Drosophila melanogaster: one gene and its partners. The protein of the gene in region 1 purifies or fractionates together with the protein of each later gene. This does not show direct contact. Each region holds a gene or a part of one and is shown in the gene's direction. Other genes may lie near its edges.

What was found.
Region 2: the proteins of CG10209 (region 1) and sala purify together in Drosophila melanogaster (affinity purification with western blotting, with the first as the bait; one study listed by BioGRID). This does not show direct contact.
Region 3: the proteins of CG10209 (region 1) and kin17 purify together in Drosophila melanogaster (affinity purification with western blotting, with the first as the bait; one study listed by BioGRID). This does not show direct contact.
Region 4: the proteins of CG10209 (region 1) and CG9667 purify together in Drosophila melanogaster (affinity purification with western blotting, with the first as the bait; one study listed by BioGRID). This does not show direct contact.

What each region holds. Positions count from the first base shown.
Region 1 is NT_033778.4:14,845,550-14,850,355, reverse strand, and holds CG10209 (uncharacterized protein), read left to right. Parts: upstream 1-1,989; 5' UTR 1,990-2,153; coding exon 2,154-2,156; intron 2,157-2,384; coding exon 2,385-2,540; intron 2,541-2,591; coding exon 2,592-3,938; coding exon of another isoform or gene 3,939-4,025; 3' UTR 4,026-4,292; downstream 4,293-4,806. Other genes in the region: SMC2 (structural maintenance of chromosomes 2), read left to right, coding at 1-193, 247-1,684.
Region 2 is NT_033779.5:11,482,911-11,487,449, forward strand, and holds sala (spalt-adjacent), read left to right. Parts: upstream 1-1,796; 5' UTR 1,797-2,121; intron 2,122-2,270; 5' UTR 2,271-2,304; coding exon of another isoform or gene 2,305-2,817; 5' UTR 2,818-2,844; exon of another isoform or gene 2,845-2,873; intron 2,874-3,171; 5' UTR 3,172-3,299; coding exon 3,300-3,311; intron 3,312-3,381; coding exon 3,382-3,798; 3' UTR 3,799-4,039; downstream 4,040-4,539. Other genes in the region: CG43355 (uncharacterized protein), read left to right, coding at 2,305-2,817. UniProt on the Drosophila melanogaster protein: Likely to be involved in the establishment of the head.
Region 3 is NT_037436.4:20,354,943-20,358,858, forward strand, and holds kin17 (kin17), read left to right. Parts: upstream 1-1,864; 5' UTR 1,865-1,954; coding exon 1,955-2,926; intron 2,927-2,998; coding exon 2,999-3,199; 3' UTR 3,200-3,389; downstream 3,390-3,916. Other genes in the region: CG5618 (uncharacterized protein), read left to right, coding at 1-45, 363-1,338, 1,403-1,591; CG5665 (uncharacterized protein), read left to right, coding at 3,570-3,765, 3,835-3,916.
Region 4 is NT_033777.3:8,124,751-8,128,285, reverse strand, and holds CG9667 (uncharacterized protein), read left to right. Parts: upstream 1-1,928; 5' UTR 1,929-1,970; coding exon 1,971-1,973; intron 1,974-2,034; coding exon 2,035-2,057; intron 2,058-2,120; coding exon 2,121-2,281; intron 2,282-2,342; coding exon 2,343-2,974; 3' UTR 2,975-2,996; downstream 2,997-3,535. Other genes in the region: Arl8 (ADP ribosylation factor-like 8), read right to left, coding at 1-24, 91-245, 1,444-1,566; CG7878 (uncharacterized protein), read right to left, coding at 3,148-3,463, 3,521-3,535.

The sequences.
Region 1 (4,806 bases):
TCAGCTACGACCCCCGTATTAATTGTCGTTCTGTGACTTTGGAAGGAGATGTCGTCGATCCCCATGGCACAGTGTCTGGAGGTGCTGCTCCTAAAGGTGCTAACGTTCTAGAAGAATTGCACGCAATTAAGCAAATAGAAAAGGAGTACAGGGAGATCGACTCTGAGATAGCCCAAGTGGAAAAGCAAATTGCGTAGGTGAACCAGTAACTTCTCATTGCCAATACTTACGCCTATCTGTTTTTAGATCCATTGAAAACCAGGCCCTCGCGTTCAACAAAATGAAGGAAAATCTTGACTTGCGACAGCACGAGCTAACCATGTGCGAGAACAGGTTGGCCCAAACAACCTTTCAACAGAATCAGGCTGAAATTGAAGAAATGAGGGAAAGGGTCAAGACCCTAGAGCAGCAAATAATTGACTCCCGTGAAAAGCAGAAGACCTCGCAAGCCAAAATAGTGGATATCGAGGCGAAGTTGGCAGATGCAAAGGGTTATCGCGAGCGAGAGCTGAATGCAGCCACCAACGAGATCAAGGTGACCAAGCAAAGGGCGGAGAAATCTCGTGCGAACTGGAAAAAGCGAGAGCAGGAGTTCGAAACTCTTCAATTGGAAATTACTGAGCTGCAGAAAAGTATCGAAACTGCAAAGAAGCAGCACCAGGAAATGATTGATAACCTCGAAAAGTTTAAGGCCGAGCTAGACGCTCTGAAAGTAAATAGCTCCAGTGCCGCGTCCGAGGTGACGGAGCTCGAACAGGCGATTAAGGAGCAGAAAGATAAACTGAGAGATCAGAACAAGGAGATGCGAAATCAGTTGGTCAAGAAGGAGAAAATGTTGAAGGAAAATCAGGAGATTGAGCTGGAGGTGAAGAAAAAAGAGAACGAACAAAAAAAGATCAGTTCGGATGCCAAAGAGGCAAAGAAACGGATGGAAGCCCTTGAGGCAAAGTATCCGTGGATTCCGGAGGAGAAGAACTGCTTTGGCATGAAGAATACTCGGTACGATTACAGCAAGGAGGACCCCCACGAAGCAGGCAACAAGCTGGCAAAGATGCAGGAGAAAAAGGACAAAATGGAACGCACTCTCAACATGAACGCTATCATGGTGCTGGATCGCGAGGAAGAGAACTTCAAGGAGACCGAGCGCCGGCGAAACATTGTGGCGATGGACAAGGAGAAGATTAAGAAAATCATAGTGAAGATGGACGAAGAAGAGCAGGATCAGCTGAACAAAGCCGCTACCGAGGTGAACACGAACTTCAGTGGGATCTTTAGCTCCCTTTTACCGGGTGCTGAAGCGAAACTCAATCCCGTCCATACCAATGGCTGTCTGACCGGTTTGGAGATTAAAGTCGGCTTCAATGGCATATGGAAGGAGAGTCTCGGTGAACTTTCTGGTGGCCAGAAGTCCTTGGTGGCTCTGTCCCTTGTCCTGGCCATGCTTAAGTTCTCTCCGGCTCCCTTGTACATTTTGGATGAGGTGGACGCTGCCCTGGACATGTCACACACCCAAAACATAGGTAGTATGTTGAAGCAGCACTTCACCAACTCGCAGTTCTTGATTGTGTCTCTCAAGGATGGTCTCTTCAACCACGCCAACGTCCTGTTCCGCACTCTCTTCGAGGAGGGTGTGTCCACCATCACCCGGCAGGTCAGCAGACAGGCGACAACCAACAAACGCTGAAATGGAACTCGTTTACTTTCTTATCACTTAATAAAACTTTAAAAATACCATATAAAACTGTTCTTATCATTTTAATTGTGAATTTTTTCAAGTTTTTTTAATTCGCAAAAAAGGTTGTGTATTACAGCAATATACTTATTTCAAGAGCCATCGGTCAATATACTTATTGCTACATTACTTAAATCAACGAAATAAGTAATTTAACTACAAATTTAATTTTGTAACGGTCGTTTGCGCATCAGCTGATTTCCAACCGGGCGGGCGAAACGTCAAACTGGTGAGACCGTCAAACGCACACACACACATACGCAGCGGACAGAAGAAGAAGAACGAAAGGCAGCAACAGCAATGTTTGAGGGAGTGAAAAATTAAACAAAAGTCCCCGGAATTCAGCAGCAAAAACTCGACGGCGGTTGAAAAACAAAACATCAAGATTTCGAGCCAACGCAGACTGCTTCAAAAGCTCACCATGGTAATTTGCAAGGTTCCAAAAATTACGAATCGTCCGATTCTTTTACCACACACACACACGACTTGTGCGTGTGTGTGTGCGGGGAGCAGCAAAATATTGTAGACACCGCTGGCATTTGGATAAACAATAGCAACAATTGGAGTGGTGTTCGAGGCGGGAAAAGCACCGATTTGTGGAATTTCATTCATTGGAATGTGGGATTGCTAATGAACCGTTTTACTCTTCCAGGATCGAGTGACCAAGCCGCAGAAGAAGATGCTCATCACACTGCTGCGGGAAACCAAGTACATGGAGGGCAAAAAGGAGAAGGAGTGGTATTGGGAGAAGATCCAAGCGGCCCTTAATACTATTGGTCCCAAGAAGACGATTATTCAGTGGAAAAAGGTGCGTTTACTTGCCTATTAAATCCAAAAATAAACTTTAATCTTCTTCCAGTGCTGGCGCGATATGCGACTGACCACAAGGAAAAAGCTGGCGGAACTGAAGCGCTGTCAACTCTCTGGAGGATCTCCACCACCGGGGATCGAACTAAACCAGGAGGACAACGATATCATCGACATTGTGGGCACCGAGTACTTCTACGAGGAGATGAATGGTGAGCTCAAGGCGGAGAACTTCTTGACCGGCTTGGACTACGCCCCGGAGCATCTGTGCGATGCTATTCTCACGGCAGCAGTGGGCCATCACCAGCACAATATGCAGCACCAGAAGGATCCGCAATCGCATGCAGGGCAACAGCAGCAGCAGGATCATCACACCAACGATGGCGAAACCAATGATGCTCCTGGATCAAGCAATGGTGGCTCATATCAGGGACACCCAGTATCCCAGTTGCAGGCGCACAATGGCAGCGGTGGAGGAGGCGAGCATAGCGGCGGTGGTCAATCCCACTCCGGAATGCTCCAGCACCCTGCTTTTCACGGTGGCTTGCATCCACACCTGTTGAGGCGCCAGCATGGAAGTGGATCACTATCCAGAGAGTCGCCATTTGAGGAGAAGCTTCTGCAGTTCATGCAGGATGCATTTCCAAAAAAGAGCAAGAAGCGCAAGAACCGGGATCCCGACAAGCTGTTCCTCTTATCCCTGTACGAAGAGATCAAGAGAGTTCCGGAGGAGATACGCCTTGATGTAAAGTCCGAACTAATGCAGATACTGAAGAAGTATCAGAAGAAGTCGCCTGTCAAAGCGGAGAAGCCCGCGCCCTCCTCTACGTCAACCTCCTCAAAACTCAGCTCTAGCAGCAGTGGCAGTAGCACGGTGACTACTCACTTGTCCCACAGCATGTACCAGTTGCAAAAGAAATACGAAAAGGGCGAGCGTGAACCATCGCCTCAATCACAGGTAGAGCGAGTAGCATCTGCAGGCGCAGTTGCTGTGCCCATTCATACCTCCCAGCAGCTGCCTCTTTTCCAACTTCAGAAGAAGTACGAGGAGAACAGCGTGGAGAAGGTTCATCAGCAGCAACAGCAACAGCAAAGCGAGCAACGCAAGCATGTGGAGGCCGCTCAGGCCCTTCATGCTGCCCACCAGCAACCGCCTCCACCGCCACCCAATGAGCACCTGCACCACCCCCAGATGGCCCACAACATCATGTTTCCGCTGGGACAGCTTCGCAACGAGCAGCCGACCGCACAGCAACACCAGCATGGCCACAATCCCCACCAGCAACAGCAACAGCATCCCCACCAGCAGCAGCAACAGGGACAGCAACACCATCCGCCAACGATCTTCGGATCGACCGCCAGCGAACGGCCTCCAATGTCCTACGAAAATGTCGGATGAGTCCTGAGCCGTCTGTGGGAAGCCACTTGTGGAGCACCACGCCCTGCGACGGTGTCCCCCACGACGGCAGACGCGCACAGCTGTTAGCCCTCGATTTAGACGGCAATTCGTAGGTCTCATTCTTATGCTAGCCTATACCTAAGTACACATTGCTCACTACACTACTACAGTCAAAAATGGTGCAGTCAATGAGGAAGATACTCCTGATGTATGCCATTTTGTAGTAAGTGGATGCCGTGATCCTCATGTAAATGTTCCCGTGGCAATAACAGCGTAGCTCAACTGTGACTCAAGTTCTCAATAGATCGCGACGCATACATTTTTTCGGTGTAAATACAAATATAATTGAATCTTAAAAACTGTGGATGTTTTTTAGTTCAAGTAAAATGATTGATCCCCAACTTCTGGCAAGAGCTCCCTATTCCCAGGTTTTTGTTTTTCTGGCCAAATCGGAGAAGTCATTGGCTTAGCTCTGAGGTGGAATCCACAATCTTGTTTGTTTGGACTTTGAAAAGCTGTAAATCCGGCAAGCGGTCCGTCGTTAAGCTGTCTTCAGGAATATCTAGTCTTCATCTCTCGTAACGCGATAACGAAACCCACAGGGAGCACGCCATATCATAAAGATAGTCAAACAGCTGACTGATCCGGTCTGCCTAAGTGCGAATTTCAACTGAGCGCTGCCGATCGCCGAACTCGTCGTTGTCTGTCGCATGTTGGGCAGGTTGATGAGCGATCACGAGCCGAGCTGCAGCATAGTCCGCCAGATCTGCGGCGCTTATCAGTGGCGTCCGGCTGGGATAAAGAGATACAGATACAGATACAGGCGGATCGACTGGAGGCAGACTGGGTCTGGCATTCTTTTCCGGCA
Region 2 (4,539 bases), on another chromosome or scaffold:
GCTTTAGGAGCATATTCGTATATGAACTAACTTAAACATACGTTACATTTTTGGGCATTATAATAGAACTTGAAGCTCTTGGGATAAAAAATATATAAAAAATTATTTTAAAAAAAAACTTTACTCATTTCTTCTGGTCTCATGAAAAAGCACTTCACGGTTTGAAAATTGTGAAGAGTATATGATGAAAAGCTGACACACGTGCGCTGAAGTTAAATGTATATACCACCAGCCAAAAAAAGCATTATCGCAAATTCACCGAAACTTTTCATAAGTTTGGAGAGCGCTGGGGGAGATCGTGTTCGAGAAAAGGTTTTCCCCGTGGGTTGGGTAAAATGTAAATATCGGTGGTAATGGCCGCCGCCCCAGGAGGTGGAAAAATCAACTGACCAGTAACTTTGGAGCCAACTTTGATGGCATCTTGCGAAAGTTGAAAGTGACTTAAGTGAAATTTCCACCTCAGGCGGCTCAGCAGCAGGACGACCTCGTCCCCTTTTCCATGGATTATCGAGGGGTCACGCCATGAACATGAGTAAAAATTAAATTGATTTTCCTCGGACATTGTTCGGACCTGTTCAGAAACTCGGTGTGCTTTTCTTTTTGGCCCTTCATGGGCTTCTGTCAACCCAATGTATTTTGTCGCATCCCTCGGAAAACTTGAGCTGGGCGAACTCCTTTAACTTGCCTATGTGGCATATTAAATTGGTGCGCAAATAGTTGTGTATTTTATTGACTCACTTTTACAGCTCAGCCAAGAGTATTTCGCATCTGCCCAAATTTTTAGCCAGCAAAATATTAAGTTGAGAGCTTTACCCCTGGAGTCTACCAATGCCGCAATACCATTCCTTTTCTACTCGACTTAAGCGACAATTTCATTTCAATTAAATTATAATTATATCTTCAGTTTGGCCCCATCAAGTTTGAGTCAAACAAAAAGTACAATTTTCATTTTCACCTTTGCGAAAGACGAGGCGGGCGTTGATAATTCCCCAAAATTGTTTGACACTTCAAAGTCATTATGAAGATAGCAATCACCAAACCCTGTTCCTCGGTCCGCTCAACTTTTCTCCAAGGGTCCTGGCATATCTTCACGACATTCACTCCCTGCCACTTCCAAGGCTCAGCAATCCTTCAGCTCCAGCCTGCCCCTCGTCCTTTTGCCACTTTACTCAATCCTAAGATGGGAATTGCCACGTCTGTCTACATACCTACATACCCGCAGCGCTTTTTGATGTAATTTTGGCATAAGCCAAAAAATGTTTCCTTTTCCCGAGATGTCTTTGTCTCCACTTCATTCCCCGGCGAGTGGTTTCCGAATGCGACACGCCCTGACAAATTCATCCGGGGAAAATGAGGAAAATGGCTGAAAATTAAATTTGGAATTAAAATTTTGGCCCTGGGCACATAACTTTATGCCGCTGGATTTTCTTTCCGCCCAGAAGGATTTCCTTACTCAAGGATAAATACTTAAGGCAAGCGTAGGCATAATAATAGCTAAGCAGCTTCTCGGAAATTAAGACGATTTAGTTGTTTAATTCTTTGGTTATCACTAGACTCCACAAATAAAGAGATAGATTGAAAATGTAATTAGATAATCAAATATAATTTTCACAGTTTTAAAGTTTAACAATATTGCTTATTTAAATGGTTGCTTTTCACCTCCGAATTTACTTTTAATCTCATAAGCATTTGAACTTGTAGTATTTTTGGCGGCGATATGTTATCAACAAACAACTCTTCCAAAAATAAACCTATATATTATTTTTTGGCAACCAAATACAATGCCACTCTAAATTGTAAATAACATTTAAGCAGCTGATCCAATTCTTGTGTTCAAAACAACAAAATTCAAAGCAATTAATTGTGCGCTGGTTTTTCTTTTTGCCTTTACTTGTATTAGGAATTATTCTTTAAAATATTTATTGATAGAGAAAAAAATATCCAGACTTATATATATCAATGAATTCGGCCACTGCGTCAACAAATCGAATTCTAACTTGTTTTAGCTATTAAAAGCAACAAATAAATGACGTATTAATAAGTACGCTAAAATAAACCAGTTGCAAAACAAACATTTATTTACTGTATATTGTTTCCATTAAGATAGAAATAGGAAAAAATGTAAGTCAATGAATATATACATAGAAAATATTCTTATCAGCTTACCATATGTATGTACAACGGACGTATAAACATATATAATAATTTTTGCATATAAAAAGATTCAAATGCATCTTGTTCTCAAAAATATTAGTCATACATCTTTTCAGATCGTTGCTCTAAATTCATCTGAGACTCGATCAGATGGGCTGTCGGCGATTTTCTGGAGGAGGACATCACCCACACGGAGGTCCACCTCCCCCTCGTCACCATCATCACCATCGTGGCAGACATGGTGCTGGTGGACGCTGTGGACACGGACACCAGCACCAGCCTTTTCCACCACCGCCTCATCGCCCCCATCGACATGGAAGTCACTTTTGGGAGGGATACGGTCCACCTCCACCACCGCCCCATTATCCACCACCAGGGGGATATCTGTATGGTGGCCACCATTGGCAGGGATATCCTCCTCCGCCACCTCCGCCTCCTTCTTCACACCACCCCCCACCATCTGGATCTCCAGCAGGAGGGTGTCCGCATTGCGGTTGCCCAGGAGGCGGTCCACCTCAAAGTGGATTTCCTGGTACCGAAAGACCTCACAACGAAACCTCAAACGACGATCAGCATGGCAGCTTCCAATCTCCAATTCCCGGTGGCGAAGTTCCTACTGATGAAATACCTGGAAAAAATAAATACGAAATCATTGATATTTAGACAACAGTAGAAAATGTTTCAAAAAAGGTAAAGTCACTATGTTATATCTTGTATCTGAGTAATGTCTTATTAATGATTTTATATTATCCGGATTTTCCTGATCAAAAAAATCGAGTAATGTTATGTTGATAAAAACTTTTCAAATATCAAATAAATAAATATAAATAAACAAATAATTTAAAAACTCCTTTATATTTCCGTCATTTCAATATGGTACTGAATTAGTATTAGTATTCTATTCAATTCCGGATTTTTCTGTTTTTCCATTTTCCCTCTTCCAATAAACTGGTTTATTTTATTTTCCATCGTAACCAGATGTTGACGGCAATACTTTTCTGTGATTTCCTTTTACAGGTAGAGACTCAAACTTAAGTCCCTCAGCCAGGTAGAATACCTTTCAGCTACCTACTTGATATTACCAAATCGTGGTATAAAAATCAAAAAAATATTAGAGCCGCCTCAGTACCGAAACTTCAGCCACGATGAAACTACTGGTGCGTCTTCTACTATAGAAATCTTAACTAACTTAGAAATATTTTTATAATAACAAATTTATAACTATAGATTGCTCTGTTTGCACTGGTGACCGCTGTGAACGCTCAGAATGGATTCGGCCAAGTTGGACAAGGAGGATATGGAGGGCAAGGAGGATTTGGAGGATTCGGAGGAATCGGCGGGCAAGCAGGTTTTGGTGGACAAATAGGATTCACTGGACAGGGTGGAGTTGGTGGCCAGGTGGGAATTGGTCAAGGCGGAGTCCACCCGGGTCAAGGAGGATTCGCTGGACAAGGTTCTCCAAACCAATATCAGCCTGGTTACGGAAGTCCTGTGGGATCTGGCCATTTCCATGGAACTAATCCAGTTGAGTCCGGTCATTTTCACGAAAATCCTCATGAATATCCGGAACATCATGGCGATCATCACCGTGAACATCATGAGCACCATGGACACCACGAACATCATGGACATCATAGACATTAGTACAAATATGAGAATACCCATGACAAAATTAAAGGAATGTAATGCTATAGTTCTCTACCGTAAATTCTTAAGAAACACTTGCTTGTTTCTGAAGTCTCTATTGTATCTAATGTCCAGAATTGATTTGTAAAAGTGATTCTTTATCTAAAACCCCCTTGAGATCCACTATACAACGTGCCTTCTTGAATTTCAGTATCTAAAATGAAAAAAAAAACGGAGTCTCAATAAAAAAGTAAATAAGGAAACGGAACCCTTTACTCTGTCCATTTTGGTTGAGGCATCTATAAATTATTTTGCAGATAGCATACAAGCATATATACCCCACACATCCCATCTCAACTTTTGCAATCGGAGAAAAGGATGCCGTCGACCGCTCCCAAGCGACATTTTCTGACCAAAGCAGCTGACAGAATTGAAAAATAAGCGACGTCCGACTAAAAGGGGGAATGGGGAGGGAATGGTAAAGGGTGGGGTTCAGGTGGGTGGGGGCTGAAGGTGAAAAATAAAAAATGGCGTCCAGTCGAGTGCTCAACCTCAAGATTTATAACGAAGGAAAAAAAATAGAGTCGAGGTGAGGGTGGGAAAAAAGAGCACACGTTAAAATAATGCAAAAGCTGAAGAAAACTAAAAAAAATGTGCGGGAAAAACTGCCACCCACACGGCCAAGGAAAGAGTGAGAAGGAAAACCGCACACACACTGATGCGCGCAACAACGGAAATGGAAAGGATAAAATTAATTTT
Region 3 (3,916 bases), on another chromosome or scaffold:
TGGACTGGCAGGAGCCCTGGTCACCGAGGCCATGAACGGCAGCACGTAAGTCTGCGCCTTATTCCACACATGTGTCTTGTCTATATGAGTGACCGCTGATTGCATCTCGTGTTCCAATCTACAAGTGGTGTCGGGGTTCAACGTACAGATAATTGCGCTATGTAATGGAGATTGCAAAGTACTACATGTATGTTTCATAACCCCCCCCCCCCCCTTTCGATTAATTTAAATGGGGATTAAGCAGAGTTCATACACAATCATTGCAAGTTATTAATCATTTAGATGAGATTTCCTAGATAGGACTACCAAAATCAGACTTTTAACCGAGGTATCCAACAAGACACAATAAACTTTTGTTTCAGATACACCTACGAAGTTGCGCCCGTGTTTAGCTTGATCGAAACTGAGGTGATCGCGACCATCTGCAAGTTAGCGGGATACAAGGAAGGCGATGGCATCTTTGCGCCCGGTGGCTCCACCTCCAACATGTACGGCATGGTTCTGGCCCGCTATAAGATCGCGCCCGAGGTGAAGACGTCTGGAATGTTTGGAATGCGACCGCTGGTGCTCTTTACCTCCGACGAGTCGCACTACAGCTTCGTGAAGGCGGCCAACTGGCTGGGATTGGGCAGCTACAACTGTGTGTCGGTGAGGACCAATGAGCGGGGTCAGATGCTGTTGGACGACCTGGAGGCGAAGATCGCAGAGGCAAAGGCACGTGGCGGTGAACCGTTCTTTGTCAACTGTACTGCAGGCACCACTGTGTTGGGTGCCTTTGATGATATCAATGGTGCGGCGGATGTGACGGAACGACATGGTCTGTGGCTCCATGTGGACGCCTGTCTGGGAGGCGCTGCACTACTCTCCGCCAAGAACCGATCGCTCATTGCCGGCCTCGAGCGGGCGAATTCGTTTTCCTGGAATCCGCACAAAACCATCGGCGCTCCATTGCAGTGTTCACTCTTTTTGACCAGGGAATCTGGCCGTCTGCTGGAAAGATGCAACAGCACCGAGGCGCACTATTTGTTCCAGCAGGACAAGTTCTATGATGTATCCTACGATACGGGAAACAAGAGTGTCCAGTGCGGCCGCAAGATCGACGCTTTCAAGTTCTGGCTAATGCTTAAGGCTCGCGGATATGGAAAGTATGGACTCATGGTGGACCACGCCATCCACATCGCCAGGTTGCTGGAAGGCAAGCTGCGCCAGCGTGGAGATCGCTTTAGACTGGTGATCCCGGAGCACGAGTACTCCAATGTCTGCTTTTGGTTCATTCCGAAAGCAATGAGGGTGTCCAGCGAGGAGGAGACGCCTGAATGGTGGAGTCGACTTTACACTGTAAGTGAATAACAATGGCTTTGATAGACCATTTAAGCTCACATTTTTATATGCTCCTTTAAAGGTGGCCCCGAAAATTAAGGAGCAAATGGCCCACAGCGGCACTTTGATGATTGGTTACTCGCCTCTTAAAGCTAAAAATCTGGGCAACTTCTTTCGCATGGTCTTCACTTGTTTTCCCATCCTGAAAAGCAAAGAGTTGGACTTCATTTTGGACGAAATTGAGAGATTGGGCGAGAAAATTGTGCTTTGAATTATTTTCTATGTGAATTAAGCTAATTAATGGAAATCGTTCAATTGTACATTTCATTGTAGTTATTACTTTGTGATAAAAAATACGCCTTTATTATGTAAACTCGGCTTAATCTCTATTTTGAATATTTAAATAAAAATCTTTCAAGAAATGAATATTAAGTTTTTTAAATTCATTTTCTACCGCTATCAACAAATAATATTAGCCTGGTCACACGAACATCCCCCAGCAGTAACTATCGATAAAAGTGTTCACGGGTATTGTTGTTATACCCCAGCGCGGTCATACCTTTACGTGAGATCAAAACAATAAGTTTTTGTTGAGAAATTATTTGTAAAACCACGCACATAAAAAGACGCTACGATGGGTCGCGCCGAGGTAGGTACGCCCAAGTACCTCGCCAACAAGATGAAATCGAAGGGTCTGCAGAAGCTGCGCTGGTACTGCCAGATGTGCGAGAAGCAGTGCCGCGATGAAAACGGCTTCAAGTGCCACACGATGAGCGAGTCCCACCAGCGCCAGTTGCTCCTCTTTGCGGACAATCCTGGCAAATTCCTGCACAGCTTCAGCAAAGAGTTCTCCGACGGCTACATGGAGTTGCTGCGCCGGCGGTTCGGCACGAAGCGAACCAGCGCCAACAAGATCTACCAGGAGTACATTGCCCACAAGGAGCACATCCACATGAACGCCACCCGATGGCTCACCCTGTCCGACTACGTGAAGTGGCTGGGCCGGACTGGGCAAGTGATAGCGGATGAGACGGAGAAGGGCTGGTTCGTCACCTACATTGATCGCAGTCCAGAGGCCATGGAACGACAGGCGAAGGCTGATCGCAAGGAGAAGATGGAGAAGGACGACGAGGAGCGGATGGCCGACTTCATTGAGCAGCAGATTAAAAATGCCAAGGCCAAGGACGGCGAGGAGGACGAAGGCCAGGAGAAGTTCACCGAGCTAAAGCGCGAAGAGAACGAACCACTCAAGCTTGATATTCGCCTTGAGAAAAAGTTCCAGCCTGACACTGTGCTAGGGAAATCCGCTCTAGCCAAGCGACCTGCCCCTGAAGCTGAAGAAAAGGTGTTCAAGAAACCCAAATCCGTGGCTGGAGACAGCCAAACGCGGTCGGTGCTGGACGAGATCATCAAGCAGGAGGAAAGCAAAAAGGAGCGTGCCAACCGCAAGGACTACTGGCTGCACAAGGGTATCGTGGTCAAATTTATTTCCAAATCCATGGGCGAAAAGTTCTTCAAACAAAAAGCGGTTGTCCTGGACGTAATTGACAGATATCAGGGCAAAATCAAGTTCTTGGAGACTGGGGAAAAGCTAAAAGTGGATCAAGTAAGATGGAAACCCAATTTTAATCTATAACGGATATTTACCCAGGTGTTTTTATTTTTTTTTGTTTTCCAGGCTCATTTGGAGACGGTAATCCCCGCTTTGGACAAGCCTGTCATGGTGGTTAATGGCGCTTATCGGGGATCCGAGGCTCTGCTAAGGAAACTGGACGAGCGCAGATATTCAGTCAGCGTGGAAATATTGCACGGTCCTCTCAAAGGCAGAATTGTAGACAACGTGCAATACGAAGATATATCTAAACTACATGGCGCCTAGCTGCGCTTTTCTAAGTTAAATTCTATAGTTGTACCTTTTTATGCCTAATTTGATATATATGTAAGTAAAAAATCTTAACCATTTCGGAGAAAGGCTGAAATCGAACTAGACAAAAATCTGCACATAATACGTTCGTTACTTAAATTTGGACTGCTCAGCATTTGGGTTAATAAAACATGACTTTTTAATGAAAATAACTAGAACACTCTCATTTACTCAGTGTACGAATATTTCAGTGGGTATGCAAACAATATTTTCGAGTTCAGTTTGGGAACAATAAAACCAGCGAACAATGGCCGCTTTACTAGCGATAATTTCTATACTTGCAAAACTTAAACTAGTTCCAGCATCGGTGTGCTAAAGAAGGGATATGAGGATTCTGTGTGGCATTGTTATCCTATTACGCCTCGGAGCATTGGGAGATATAGCTGTTGACGAAGAGGGAAGGTTGACGCGAAGCTGGTGGGATGCAGTGCCTAGACTTTTAACTGACATCGCCACCATTAAGGCGAACATACTCACAGCTGCTCCACTTGAATTGGCTTCCAACATAATTGATGCTGTGTGTAAGGATAACGTCCTGTGTTTATCAACATATAAAAAGTTATTTGATTTTATTGTGATCTAAATGCCAGGTTCTTCCACCCTCTTTATGGACAGAATCCCTGCGCAAATCACTCCGGACATAAGGAAGATGCATTTTCAGTACATGACGCC
Region 4 (3,535 bases), on another chromosome or scaffold:
AGATCGGCTGCGTCCACCATGTAGCTGTTGATTAATACATTACAGTGTTACTTGACTACCGATTGTTGCTTAAGTATCATTATTGCTTACACAATCGCATTAACGCCGCGACAATAGCGCTCCCACATGGATCGGAATCGAGGTTGGCCTCCGATGTCCCACACCTTGATAGTCACATTGCCTCTGGTGATCTTGCGCATGTTGAATCCAACTGTGGGTATCATGTCCTCAGCGAATTGGCCGGACTACAAGAAACAAAAATAATTAGTAAGTAATCGTGTCTTAAATAAAATACAACTTTTATATTAGCAAAGAACAAAGCCTAGAAGTATGCAATCCAAAATAATGTAAAACTCGTGTAAAAAATTGATTTTTTACACATGACAGCATCCAAAACCTTAAAAAATTTGTTATTCTTTTTGAAAATGCTCTTAAATAAATAACTATTGTAATATCTTAAAGTATTGATCAAACAATGTCTTTTGGTACTAAATTTAATTCAACATACAACACTTAAATTGATAATTGATTCTAACCCATAAATCTTTGTTCTGTATCAGCATCAATCACCTTACATATGCATTCAATAAGAGAATCGAAAGCTCCTAAAATGGCAAGATGTTACTTCTGTGACTTAGTTTAAATTAAAAAGGTATACTATAGGTTAGCAGTCGCTAGTGAAATGGGAAAAGTGACTAATTGGCGCCACCCACAAGTTTGTTTTCATTCCGAACCTGAACATTACACTAATGCACGAATCTGAATGCAAACACGGAATTGGAGTCTAATAGCAGTGATAAGCAGGGGAATATTTCCGTTTCGGGAGCACTTGAACAAACAAATTTCCCGTAGATGCGGGCAGACATTTGAATCGAATTCACATGACTCATAATAAGTCAGGCGGTCACAAAGGCAGTAGTTACTCCACCTCCCGCAACGACTGGCAAGTGTATGCAACTATCTACGAGTTCCAGTAAATGGTAACTTGAGATCGTCGCATTATCAGCGTGCAGAAATGTGTGAAAAAAACCAGGGAGGCGGTACGGGAATACGGGGTCAGGGGTTGAAGTGCTGATAATGGCGTCATTGTGCGGAGAAACATGCGTATATATGGGCTATATGTAGGTTTATTGATTACAGCGGCAGGAACGGTAAACTTTACCACTAAAAGGAAACGGTTAGCACAGCGTTAATTACGGATGCAGTGAAAGAAACTGGGAGTACGAAAAGATAAGAAATAAACAATGTTAGAGTGGGGGAATCAAGCTAAGACCAATTCCTTTGTCACTGGGGGTTTGTAATGCTTTTTAAGTAGTAGCTGATCCCCCGGCTTTCCGTGAACCCCCTCCCCACCCACACAACAGACAACCACACACAAAAAAAACCACCCTCTCACCCATACACCCACACGAATTCGCACACACCCACTGCGAAAATACTCACTGCAATAACATTGACGAACGTCGTCTTCCCGGAGAACTGCAGCCCCACTAGCGTGAGTTCCATCTCCTCTTTCCAGAAGATGCTCTTGAACCACTCGAGGATCCTGTTGATGAGGGCCAACATCCTGGGGCAGGTGTGTTTCTGGTCGGGATCTGCTTGAAATTCGCGAAAAAAGGTTTCCTTTTCCAAAGAGCGTAAATGTTGTCGTGAAAAAACAACTGGGCAGGTCAGTGTGGCCAAGTGCGCGGTAGTGTACTTAGTAGTATTCGTAGTGAATGGTAATCGTTTATTTCAGCATGTATCCAATTAAGAGAAAATAAAATTCATATGGTATATATATATTAAGTACAAATAAATAATATTATGTCTTCGGGTTTCATCGGGAATATTATTAATAAATTGCATTTAAAATATATGTGAAATCGCTACTGGACAATATTTACTGTACTTGCTATCGATAACGTGTAACCGATTTCCGTATAGTTCGCTGTGACTGGCAATTAAGGCAGAAGAAGTTAGTAAACAAAATGGTAAGATGATGTGAAAATTTTATTAATTTTAATTAAATGAATAATACATGTATATTTTCAGGCGCGCAATGCAGAGAAGGCAATGTAAGTAACCCGGATATACGTATAACATAAGATTTCCAGCACTCATCCGCTTATTTTCGACAGGACAACTTTGGCACGTTGGCGGGCCGCAAAAGAAGTGGAATCTGGTGAAAAGGAACGCCGGCCCTATTTGGCCTCCGAGTGCCACGATTTGCCCAGATGTGAGAAGTTCCGCCTGGAGATAATACGCGACATATCGAAGAAGGTGGCCCAGATACAGAATGGTACCTATTTCGGTTTATTTATTTCTCCCTAACAATATACACTAATAGCGACCACTTATAGCTGGCTTGGGAGAATTCCGGATTCGCGATCTGAACGATGAAATCAACAAGTTATTGCGTGAGAAACGGCATTGGGAAAATCAGATATCCTCATTGGGTGGCCCCCACTATAGACGCTATGGTCCCAAGATGTTCGATGCGGAGGGCCGTGAAGTTCCCGGCAATCGAGGCTACAAATACTTTGGAGCCGCCAAGGATCTGCCGGGTGTTCGCGAGCTCTTTGAACAGGATCCTCCGCCGCCACCCAGGAAATCACGCGCTGAACTAATGAAGGACATAGATGCCGAATACTACGGCTATCGAGATGACGAAGATGGTGTTCTGATCCCTCTGGAGGAACGCATCGAACGAGCGGCCATTCAGAAGGCCGTGCAGGAATGGCGGGAGAAAATGGCCAGAGATGGTCGCATAATCGATGACGAAGAGGAGGATGAAATATATCCCCTTTCGGGACCAGCACGCGAAGCCATCGAGGATGCCAAGGCTCGAGCCGCCGTGGAGGATCCTCATGGCCTATTGGCATCCAAGTTCACCGCTCACGTTCCCGTGCCGACGCAACAAGATGTACAGGAAGCACTGCTGCGCCAGCGGAAACGGGAACTGCTGGAGAAATACGCCGGTGGCACTAACTAAGCTCAATAAACATTCTAAACTCTTAGTTTGATACATTTAAATCGCGTGTTCTTTTAACACGGCATGTTTTGGGTTATGATCATCTATAATTGGAATAGATAAATAGTTAAACAATTTTTGGCAAGGCACTTCAATGCGCTCTAGTCTCTTATAACTAGAAAATGTAGAATGAATCAGTATTGAAATTGATCGAAATTTCGGCGTCCGCCGCCACGTCCGCCTCCAAAACGACCACCTCTTCCTCCAAAACCGCCACCTTCAGCAGCGCGCTTGTCCTTCATGGCTTTAAAGCGTCTAGCCATGTTGTGCAGTTCGTCGGGCACTTCCTGCTCCGCCTCCTGCAGTATCTCAATTAGTTCCTTGGCCATAGCCCAATCCTCGCGCGTAAAAAAGCTTATTGATGTGCCCTGTCGGCCAGCACGTCCGGTGCGACCAACACGGTGCACATACTCCTCGATGTTGTGCGGAAAATCATAGTTGATGACATGTCTTTGTGGATGAAAAAATAATGACTAATGGGTTCCTCGACTCGAAAAATTTGCTTACGTGATATCCTCAATG